Macaca fascicularis: one gene and its partner. The protein of the gene in region 2 interacts with the protein of the main gene of each other region in a pairwise test. Links are inferred from orthologs where the notes say so. Each region holds a gene or a part of one and is shown on either strand. Other genes may lie near its edges.

Region 1 (4,350 bases), on a different chromosome or scaffold from region 2:
AGGTTGGTCTCGAACCCCTGGCCTCAGGTGATCTGCCCGCCTCAGCCTCCTAAAGTGCTGGGATTACAGGCGTGAGCCACTGCACCCGGCCTACACCCAACTTTCAGAGCATCTTTGGTTCCTGGGGTGAGAGAAGCCACTGGGAGCTCGGTGCTGCCACCTGTGCAGCTGCAGAACCCGGCAGGCTCTGGAGAGCTGCTCCCAGGTGGGAGATGGCAGGATGGAGCCAGCCCACCCCTTTCCAGACGTCTCTAGGCCCTCCCTGCTCAAACCTCCTTTGTAGGCACTGGTGACCCGATTCTAAGGTCCCCAGGAGATGGATCACCAGATGACGTGTCTTGTTTTTGGAAAGCCTGGTCATGCAATTTAGCAGATGGTTTGGGGTGAGGTGGAAGGCATTTATTTGCTTTGTCTTGCTAACTCTCAAAGTCAAAGCCTGTCCCAGCCTGACGGCTTCCAGCAGAAAGTGTCAGAACCAGAGGCCCAGGCAGGGCCCAGGCAGGGCTCGTGGTCCTGCTGGGCCCTGGCATTGTTCTTACAAATGGAGGGCATGGCCATCTTCTCTTTCAGGGACAGGCTGGCTTGACATGGAAGGTGAAGCAAGGCAGCAGCCCCTGCCTCCGGGAGAACGCTGCCGACTGCGGCGCCAGGGAGCCGAGGGGTCCTGGGAAGGAGCTATGGAGTCCTGCCCAGCAGGTCACCGCCACCTCCTCTAAATGGGCGCGATTTGTCCTGTCACCTAGAAACAGTTCACATGTGGACAGAGAGCAGCCAACGCCTCTTCAGAGGGATCCTGGGCCAGCTGCTCCAGCACAGGCTAAGCAGGGGACCCCCGGGACCCCCAGAGCACAGGCCTCAAGGGAAGGCCTCAGCAGGCCCACTGACGCTGTCCAGCTTCCTCGGGCCACACACCCCACCACATCCGGGCCTGAGAGGCCCTGCGGGAAGACCTCATGGGACGCAAGGACTCCCTGGGCAGAGGGTGGGCCCCTGGTCCAGGAGCCACAGAATCCCCAACTCCCACGACTGTGTGACCTCTTTACAACTGGTGAAGACTTTGATGATGATCTGTGACTGGCAGGTTATTATTAATCGAGATACACTTGTTAGGAGGGACAGGGTTCCCTAAGGCACTTTTAAAGATACTGTATAAGAACCACCAATAAACTTACTGTCAAACAGATCATTTCTCTCTATGCAAATGTCATTGGTTAAAGTGCTGATGCCATTTAATTAGATCGTTTACAAACGTAACAGGATGGCTACAAAGAGATCTTATTTTAAAAGCAGCTGATGGTTTGGCAATGAGAGAACTACAGTGGTGGAGAGACCAGGAGGCAGCTCTCAGCGAAACCAACATTACGGATGCCCTGCATGAGCCTTCTCAGTCCCAGCAGGAAGCCCACCACACTGGCTGCCCCGGCCTCCCCACTGCCTGTGCCAGGACAGCCGCCTCCCCTGCTTACCCGCCAACAACACCTAGGCATCCTTTATCTAAAATCAGAGCGTACCAGGTCTCTAGCAGAAAATCAACTAAATGTCAGGGACCTCCGAGTCATTTAAAAAGAGAAAGTGGAAGGCCATTAGGCAAGCTATGTCTGGGCTGCTAATGTGGCCCCTGCAGGGAGGGGCCAGGAGCACTGCGGTGAGCCTCAGGTCTCGCAGGCCCAGCCCTGCTGCAGGGAACCAGAGCACCCAGGAGACCAGTCTTGCTTCTCAGACATCACACACACGGGGACCCTCCCCTCATGTCACTTGTTTTGCTGCCCTAAATGGCTTCTTCCACCCTAACCCCTGATCCCCTGATCCTGGAAGGCGGCAGAGAAACTGGCCCGTACAGAGACCTGCAATTCTACACTAGCTTAACAGCTACGAGACAGAAGAGGGGGACACAGAAGAGGTGGGTAAAAGCGGTCACAATGGCGGGGAGTGCTTTGAATACTGGATGGTGTCCAGAGCCGCCCCGATGTCGTAATTCTTGGTCTGCAGGAGCCTGGTGAGCCAGCCGCCTTCGTCAGAGAAGCCCATGGACAGCATCTGGGAGAGGGACTCAATCAGCCGCGGGTCAGCCTCTGCCAAAACAGTAAGGAAGCCATGAGGAGTGATGCTGAGCCCTGTGAGTGACCCGAAACACACACCCTCCTGCCTTGGCCAGCGGGACCAAGGCCTGCCAGTGTCCGAGTGCCCAGAGCTCTGGCCCTCACAGGCCACAGTGGACCTGCTTTCCCTGTAAAGGGCCAACCAGTCTTTTTCACACTGTTCAACTCTGCCACTGTGACACAAGGCAGCCAGGTGGTATGTAAACAAAACTATCGCTGGACACTGAAATACGCATTTCCTCTAACTGTCACATCTTTTGATTGAAAAATACAAGAACTACTCTTGGCCCATAGGCCATAGCTCGCCATCCCCTGCCCTAAGGCAGAGAAGACACACTGGCAGCGCACAGCAGGTTGTGCACAGACCTTGGTTTACACACACACGGCTGCAGTGACAATGAGGAGTCTCTGTCAGCTGTCCCCACCCCCCACCGCTGCCTTCCACACCATCCACTTCAACGGTGGCTTCTGCCTGGCTCTTCCAGGGATCTTGGCTATGACCCCCACTCAGACCAGCACTCCCTGAGGAGACACTGAAGAGGTCTGAGCCCAGTGTGAGTAGTAGGGACACACCCAGTGCTGCCCCCTCTCTGTGTCACACCTACCTTAATTCCTGGTCTGCATGTTAAGTTTTAGAAACTCCTACAATTAATATTCCTGGCTCTGGAGTTTGCTTAAAGAAAAACATTTTTAGAACTCCTGCATTAGCAGAGCTTACTCACTGCTGCTCAGGGTAGACGTAAGAGGACAAAACCAACTCCTAACCTCCCACACCTACAGACAAGCCCTGCAGTGGAGAACGTCCCATCCTGTTTGTGTCGCTGGAATCGGGGGGCAGGATGCTCTGAAGGGAAAGGTAGGACTGAACACAGAACTCTTGGTTCACTTGCCTGGTGGGAGATGCGGGTACAAGGCAGCTTCCTTCAGCCCTGTGGGTCCCTCCTGGGAGGGGTCCAGAGAGCTTGGCCCTTCGGATTCTGGCATCTGTAGGGACTGGAGTTCACCTGTGGACGGGTCCACTTCTTTTGAAGACAAATGGGTCCAGTCATCGTCTCCTCCTGAGCAGTTATCAGACTCCATCTGTTCCTGAAACAGAACTCACCATGAGCATACAAGAGACACGCGCAACAGGCCAAGCCTGACCATGGCACTGACTCCTGGCAAACAGTCGGGGAGCGTGCACGCACACATGTGTTTAAGGCTGCAGGGGGCTACGGGGATCAGTGAGCCACTCACAAAGACCAAGTAACTACAAAGTTCTAGCAGGTTCCCAGAGTGACTTTAATGGCACAGACATCACTGCAGCAGCAGCAGCTCCCTCAGGTTTCATAAGTGGCTGCATAAGTGCTGAGGATGAGGCGGAGGTGCAGCTACAAATCGCTAGGCTGCCCGAGGTCCCAGGTGGTGGGAGGGGCACAGGCTTGCCTCAGGCCGCCCCTCGGACTCCAAGGCGATCTTTCTCATCTGCTCTGCCAGAGACTGCGTGGCGCCCTCAACATTCCCACCCGGCTTGCTGGGGTCAGAGCAGCAGCTGCTTGGCTGTGAGCTGTTCTTCTCCTCTGTGCTGGAACTCTCTGGAGAGGCAGGGGTCAGGCGGCTTCTTTTCCCGCCGTGCTCCACGTCAATATCCACTTCAATGCCTAGAGGCCAAGGAGGAGAGAGAAAGCTGTGACACTCCCCCAAGGAGGCAGCTGCGAGCAGGAGTGTGGCCTGTGGGGACTACAGACTCATGAAGATCTCACGTTCAGTCCACACAAGCAGGTGAGGGTGTGGATGGCGGCACTCAGTGTGTGGATGCAGGGGCTAGGTTCTCCTACCCAGCTTGACCCCGGAATCACACAGTTAGTATGGGACTAGACGATGCAAACGTGTGAGTCCGAGGCTTCTCCCAATATCCCAGCTACAAATTTCTGTGGCTTCTGGAAACATTCTCGGTGTGCCCGCGATACTGGAGCTTTCTCTTTCTCCAATTCAGTAAAACATTAACCTCAGCTAGCATCTAAGGTCAGCTTCTAAGCCAGAAAGTCAAAGAGACCTTGTTTTTTCTAACCATGCAGGGTATGGGCTACACAGCAGGTAGGGCCAAGCCCTAAGTACGGGGGAGCCAACACTGCATGTGGCGGGCACCTCCAGCCACAGTGATGGAAGGCTGTGTGTGCCTCATGACACTTGCACACAGAGGCTTTGGGTGATGACATAACACGCACCTAAACGCTGGGCTCCGCTCGGAGTGGACAGGCCATGCAGGCGA
Region 2 (5,443 bases):
GAGGCGGAGCTTGCAGTGAGCCGAGATCGCGCCACTGCACTCCAACCTGGGCGACAGAGCGAGACTCCGTCTCAAAAAAAAAAAAAAAAAAAAAAAAAAAAAGAAATAGATAGGGAAAATGCCTGAAAGTACTTCATACAGCGCCTGCACACAGTAGGTACCCAATAAATAGTTGATACATTAATCATTTTCCATTAATATCTTATTTGACAGCCACAATAACAGATCTTACTGTTTCTGTTTGCAGACAGAGGAAATGAAACTCTAAAGGCTTACCCAAGATGGTACAGTACATCAGTCACAGAGGCTGACTAGCAAGCACAGTTCCCCAGGCCAGGGTTTTTTTACCTGAGATCTGGTCTGTCACCTTCCCTTGGACTGGGCAGTGCTTGCAGGCAGATGCTTGGTGAAGGTTTTAGACCTTAAAGGCTGTGAGTCAGCACTCCTGGAGTCTTACCAGGATGTCCTGGTTTGTAAAAATCTTTCCTGTAGCTGTGTCTCTCCCAAATTTTTGTGGTGGGTGTGTGTGTGTGTGTGTGTGTGTGTGTGTGTGTGTGTGTGTGTGTGTTTAAATGGAGTCTCACTCTGTCACCCAGGCTGGAGTGTAGTGGCACGATCTCTGCTCACTGCAACCTCTGTCTCCCTGGTTCAAGCAATTCTCCTGCCTCAGCCTCCTAAGTAGCTGGGATGACAGGCATGCGCCACCACGACCGGCTAATTTTTGTATTTTTAGTAGAGATGGGATTTCACCATGTTGGCCAGGCTGGTCTCCAACTCCTGACCTCAAGTGATCCACCCACCTTGGCCTCCCAAAGTGCTGGGGTTACAGGCATGAGCCACTGCACCTGGCCTCCCAGTTTTTTTGTCTGTTTGTTTGAGGCATAGTCTCACTCTGTCACCCAGGCTGGAGTGCAGTAGCACGATCATGGCTGTGCAACCTTGACCTCCCTGGCTCAACAATTCTCCTGAAGAGCTGGGACTGCAGGCATGCCCCACCACGCCCAGCTAGTTTTTAACCTTTGTAGAAACAGGGTCTCTCTATGTTGCCCTGACTGGTCTTGAACTCCTGGCCTCAAACAATCATCCCACCTTGGCCTCCCAGAGTGTTGGGATTACGAGCGTGAGCCACCACACCTGGCCCTCTCTCCCCAGTTTAAGGCTAACCCTGCACAACCTCCACCAGTTACACATTCTGCCTCTGAATGAGCTGCTATTTTATTAGCAGGGAGACTCAGAGCTAGATCAACTGGGCCAGCTCCCAGCTCTTTCACTTTCCAGCTGGAAAACCTTAGCTAATTGACTTCACCTCTTGGGCAGTTTCCTCACCTGTGAAATGAGGATAATAAAGTCATGCCTGATTCATAGAGTTATCGGAAGGTACTAAGATGAAGCATTCCCCGTGCCTGACAGTTCCTCGTGGCACACAGGAAAGTAGCTGTTGCTATCCTTATAGACAACCTGGCTGTTTCTCACTGGGCATTTTCTCTGCTGACTGGAGCCACTTAGCTGGCCCCAGGGCCTTTCTCTCCCTCTCACATCTCATCTTTCCCCCAGTCTCTGTCTTGGTATCGCCTGGAAGGGCAGCCTAATGTCTGGACCCCTTCCCATCCGCTGAGTGATCCTGAGCGCCGAGTTGGGGTGTATGGGTCTCCAATCCTGTCTCTGAACTGGCTCGTGTAGCTAGTCCAGCTAGAGGCCTGGATCCTGAGCAGATGAAGGAAGGGGAAGGAGCTTGGGGGAGCTGGGCACAGCATGGCTGAGAAGGAGGATGGGCCCCCAGCAGGCATGAGAACCGACCTGGAGCACTCCTGTTTGTAGATGTCAATGATGTTCTCCACCAGCAGGTTCCTCTGCAGGCCGTACACTCCATGACGATCCATGATCACCTCGTGGCGGCAGGTGGGGCAGCGGAAACGGCCTCCAGACATGGATACCGAGCTGCCCCGGCCGGTCCAGTAGGGATTTGCAGCCTGCAGGTGGCAAAGGTCAAGGTGAGGCCTGGGCTCCCTCCTCAGCCCTTCCCCTTTCTAATCTCCTCTTATCCTTTCCTCTGCCTGCCCCAACCACCCCAGTCAAACCTAATGACCTGGAGCTCCGCAGGCTGCGATGAGAACCAGTCCTCACATACAGAGCACCTGAGATGCAGCTAAGCAATCGTCAGGATGGGGAGGCAGGAGACCTGGGTTCAAGTCATGTTAATTCTCTGAGTGATTTTGGGCAAGCAACCTTATCTCTCTAAGCCTCAGTTTGTCCACTTATGAAATGGGTATTACAATGAGAGCAAGCTCCTAAGGCTGCTACTTTAAAGATAATATCGTGAAAGAACATTTTGTAAAGTGTCCCTGGGGAACCTCGCATCCTGCCTCCCAGCCAGGACACCTACCCCCTTCCTTTCTTGGGGATTTGGAGCCGCTTCTGTCCCCATATTGTAGGGAACAGCCTCGAAAGGGAAGACGCCTCTACTGCCCACTGCCTCCCCGACACCCTCCTCCCAAAGCTCTGGGCCTCTTGCCACCAGGACCTGGCTCCAGCCCCAGGGGTCTGGTTTCTCTCTCCTGTCCCTGCCTTCCCCGCTTATCACTTGAGGCATTTGACTCTTGATTGGAGAGTCAACAGCAGTGCTCAGGGCAGGGGTGGGGGAGCTGTGGGCAGGGTGGGGAGGGGAAACGCGTCATGGAGAAGAACTGCAACAGCTAGAGCTGCCTCCCATCCCCTCTCAGCCCTGTCTAGAGGCCTCTGCAGGGGTTCACTTCCAAGGGAAAAGAGTTAGAAGGCTAAGGGAGAAGAAGGGCTTCATTCGGAAAGCCGAGTAGCCACCTGGGACCCCCGGATGAGGCTGCACCCGGCACTGACCTGGAAGATGTCATTGGCACACTTCCGGCACAGGTTGTGCTGGCACGGCAAGATGACCACTGGCTTGGTAAACATCTCCAGGCAAATAGGGCAGATCAGCTGCTTCTCCAGGTTCTCCATGGGGTTCCCATCCTGGATCAGGCTCGACTTATAATCCATTCTGTGGGCAGGAGTGAGAGCCGCGCCTAGCTGCCTCCTCTACTGACTTTGCTCTAAGTAGACCTGGGGAGTCTTGCCTTTGTCACGAAACACCAGGTCGGATCCTGTTGGCTTCCTTCTCCTGGTGCCCGAATTCTGTCTTGGTCTGAGGCCCCTCTGATATTTATAGCTAGATCTTGGTCACATGAGCTCCAGGAGGGGACCAGCTGAGCATTCCGATGCCAAGCGGCTGGTGGGGCTTGAGTTTCCTCCAGGACTGAAAGACTGGCCCTCTCGAATCACATGCAGGGATGAGCAATCGCTGTTCTTCTGGGACGGGGGTCATAAACAAGAACAGCCTGTTCAGAGGCAGGCTTAGGGGAAGACTGGGTACCCAGAGCTTCCTCCAGAAATTGGTCTCCCCCCGGCACCAGGCTAGCGGGTCAGGGATAGGACCCAGCAAGTGAGCCACTGGGATTCAAAGGGTTAATAGCCAATGCTATGATGAAAATGTCGAACATTTTTCTGAGTACTGGTGTACATCAGGTAACTAATATACATCACAATGTGACAGATGGATGAGTGATTTGTTTCCCTGCCCTGAGAAACTCACAGCCCAGGAAGGGAGATAGAAAGGATCGTGCAGTGGTGCGATCTCTGCTCACTACAACCTCTGCCTCCCAGGTTGAAGCCTCCCGACCCCAACCCCCTCCCAGCCCCGCTCAACCCCTCACTGACCTAAATCAATTCCATCCCCTCTTCTGGAGTCCTGAGCAGCTCCTAGATGGAAGGGTCAGGCAGCCCCTCTCTCTGAGCTCATCCCTCTGCCTCAGACCTCAGCACAGCATTTTGCTGGAGACAGTGGAGACCCCCACCCCAGCCAGCCCATCCTCCATCCCTTGGCCACTTATTTCACTCAGTGCTGAAAGGCCTCCCTTGAAACGCAGTCCAGTCCCCTCATCTTATAGATTTTGAAATGGGACTAGAGAAGAAAAGGATTATATTCAAAGTCAGTTAGAAAGTAAGTGACAGCCGGGTGTGGCGTCTCACACCTGTAATCCCAGCACTTTGGGAGGCTGAGGCAGGTGGATCACGAGGTCAACAGTTCAAGACTAGCCTGGCCAACATGGTGAAACCCCATCTCTACTAAAAATACAAAACTTAGCTGGGTGTGGTGGTGCGAGCCTGTAATTTCAGCTACTCGGGAGGCTGAAGCAGGAGAATCACTTGAACCCGAGAGGCAGAGATTGCAGTGAGCTGAGATGGCGCCACTGCACTCCAGCCTGGGCGACAAGAGAGAAACTCCATCTCAAAACAAAACAAAACAAAAAAAAAAAAAAAAAGAAGAAGAAAGTAAGTGGCAAAGCCAGACATTTTATTCATTCATCAGACATGTTTCTGAGTACTAGTATACATCAGGCAACTAGTATACATCACAACATGACAAATGGATGAGTGATCTGTTTCCCTGCCGCAAGAAACTCACAGCCGAGGAAGGCAGATAGAAAGGAAAAACCTGCCGGGTGCGGTGGCTCACGCCTATAATCCCAGCACTTTGGGAGGCTGAAGTGGGCAGTCGGATTGCCTGAGGTCAGGAGTTTGAGACCAGCCTGGCCAACATGGCGAAACCCTGTCTCTACTAAAAATACAAAAATTAGCTGGGTGTGATGGCACACACCTGTCATCCCAGCTACTCGGGAGGCTGAGGCAGGAGAATTGTTTGAACCCAGGAAGTGGAGGTTACAGTGAGCGGAGATCGCGCCACTGCACTCCAGCCTGGTGACAGAGTGAGACTCTGTCTCAAAAAAAAGAAAAGAAAGGAAAACCCCTCATGCGGTGCCACAAAGCCCTGCCTGGACACTTAGAAGGCTTCCCTCAGCTCTCTGCACACATTTTAACTTTTCTCCATATTTCTTAGGACATCTTCCACATTGGCAGGTAGAAGTCATTAGAGCAGTTCCAGTGGCTGTTTTGTTTTGTTTTGTTTTGTTTTTTCGAGACAGAGTTTCACTCTGTTGCCCATGCTGGAGTGCAGTCGTGCCATCTCAGCTCACTGCAACCTCCGCTTCCCAGGTTGAAGCGAGTCTCCTGACTCAGCCTCCTAAGTAGCTGGGACTACAGGCGTATGTCACCACACCCGACTAATTTTTGTATTTTTAATAGAGATGGGTTTTTACCATGTTAGCCAGGCCGGTCTCCAACTCCTGACCTCAGGCAATCTGACTGCCTCGACCTCCCAAAGTGCTGGGATTACAGCTGTGAGCCACTGTGCCTGGCCTCCAGTAGCTGTTTTTAAGGTAGCATCTAATGAAAGGACCGTGGGGTCATCCGGTCCAAGGTGATGAGGCAGAGATATGGAGCAATGGTATCAGGTCCCAAAATAAGTCTAAGAGGCCATGGAATACTCAGGAGAGGTATGAAGGATTTCAAGAAAGAGGAATGACGGGAAAAA

What was found.
Region 1: the proteins of TRIM63 (region 2) and SQSTM1 interact in a two-hybrid assay, tested with the Homo sapiens proteins (2 studies listed by BioGRID and IntAct). The link is inferred for Macaca fascicularis from reciprocal best matches to the Homo sapiens genes TRIM63 and SQSTM1.

What each region holds. Positions count from the first base shown.
Region 1 is NC_088380.1:186,726,912-186,731,261, reverse strand, and holds the end of SQSTM1 (sequestosome-1), read right to left. Parts: intron 3,740-4,350; coding exon 3,525-3,739; intron 3,186-3,524; coding exon 2,990-3,185; intron 2,073-2,989; coding exon 1,915-2,072; 3' UTR 1,208-1,914; downstream 1-1,207. Other genes in the region: MRNIP (MRN complex-interacting protein), read left to right, coding at 571-1,074. UniProt on the Homo sapiens protein: Molecular adapter required for selective macroautophagy (aggrephagy) by acting as a bridge between polyubiquitinated proteins and autophagosomes.
Region 2 is NC_088375.1:209,073,605-209,079,047, reverse strand, and holds part of TRIM63 (E3 ubiquitin-protein ligase TRIM63), read right to left. Parts: intron 3,322-5,443; 5' UTR 3,013-3,321; coding exon 2,854-3,012; intron 1,971-2,853; coding exon 1,798-1,970; intron 1-1,797. UniProt on the Homo sapiens protein: E3 ubiquitin ligase. Mediates the ubiquitination and subsequent proteasomal degradation of CKM, GMEB1 and HIBADH.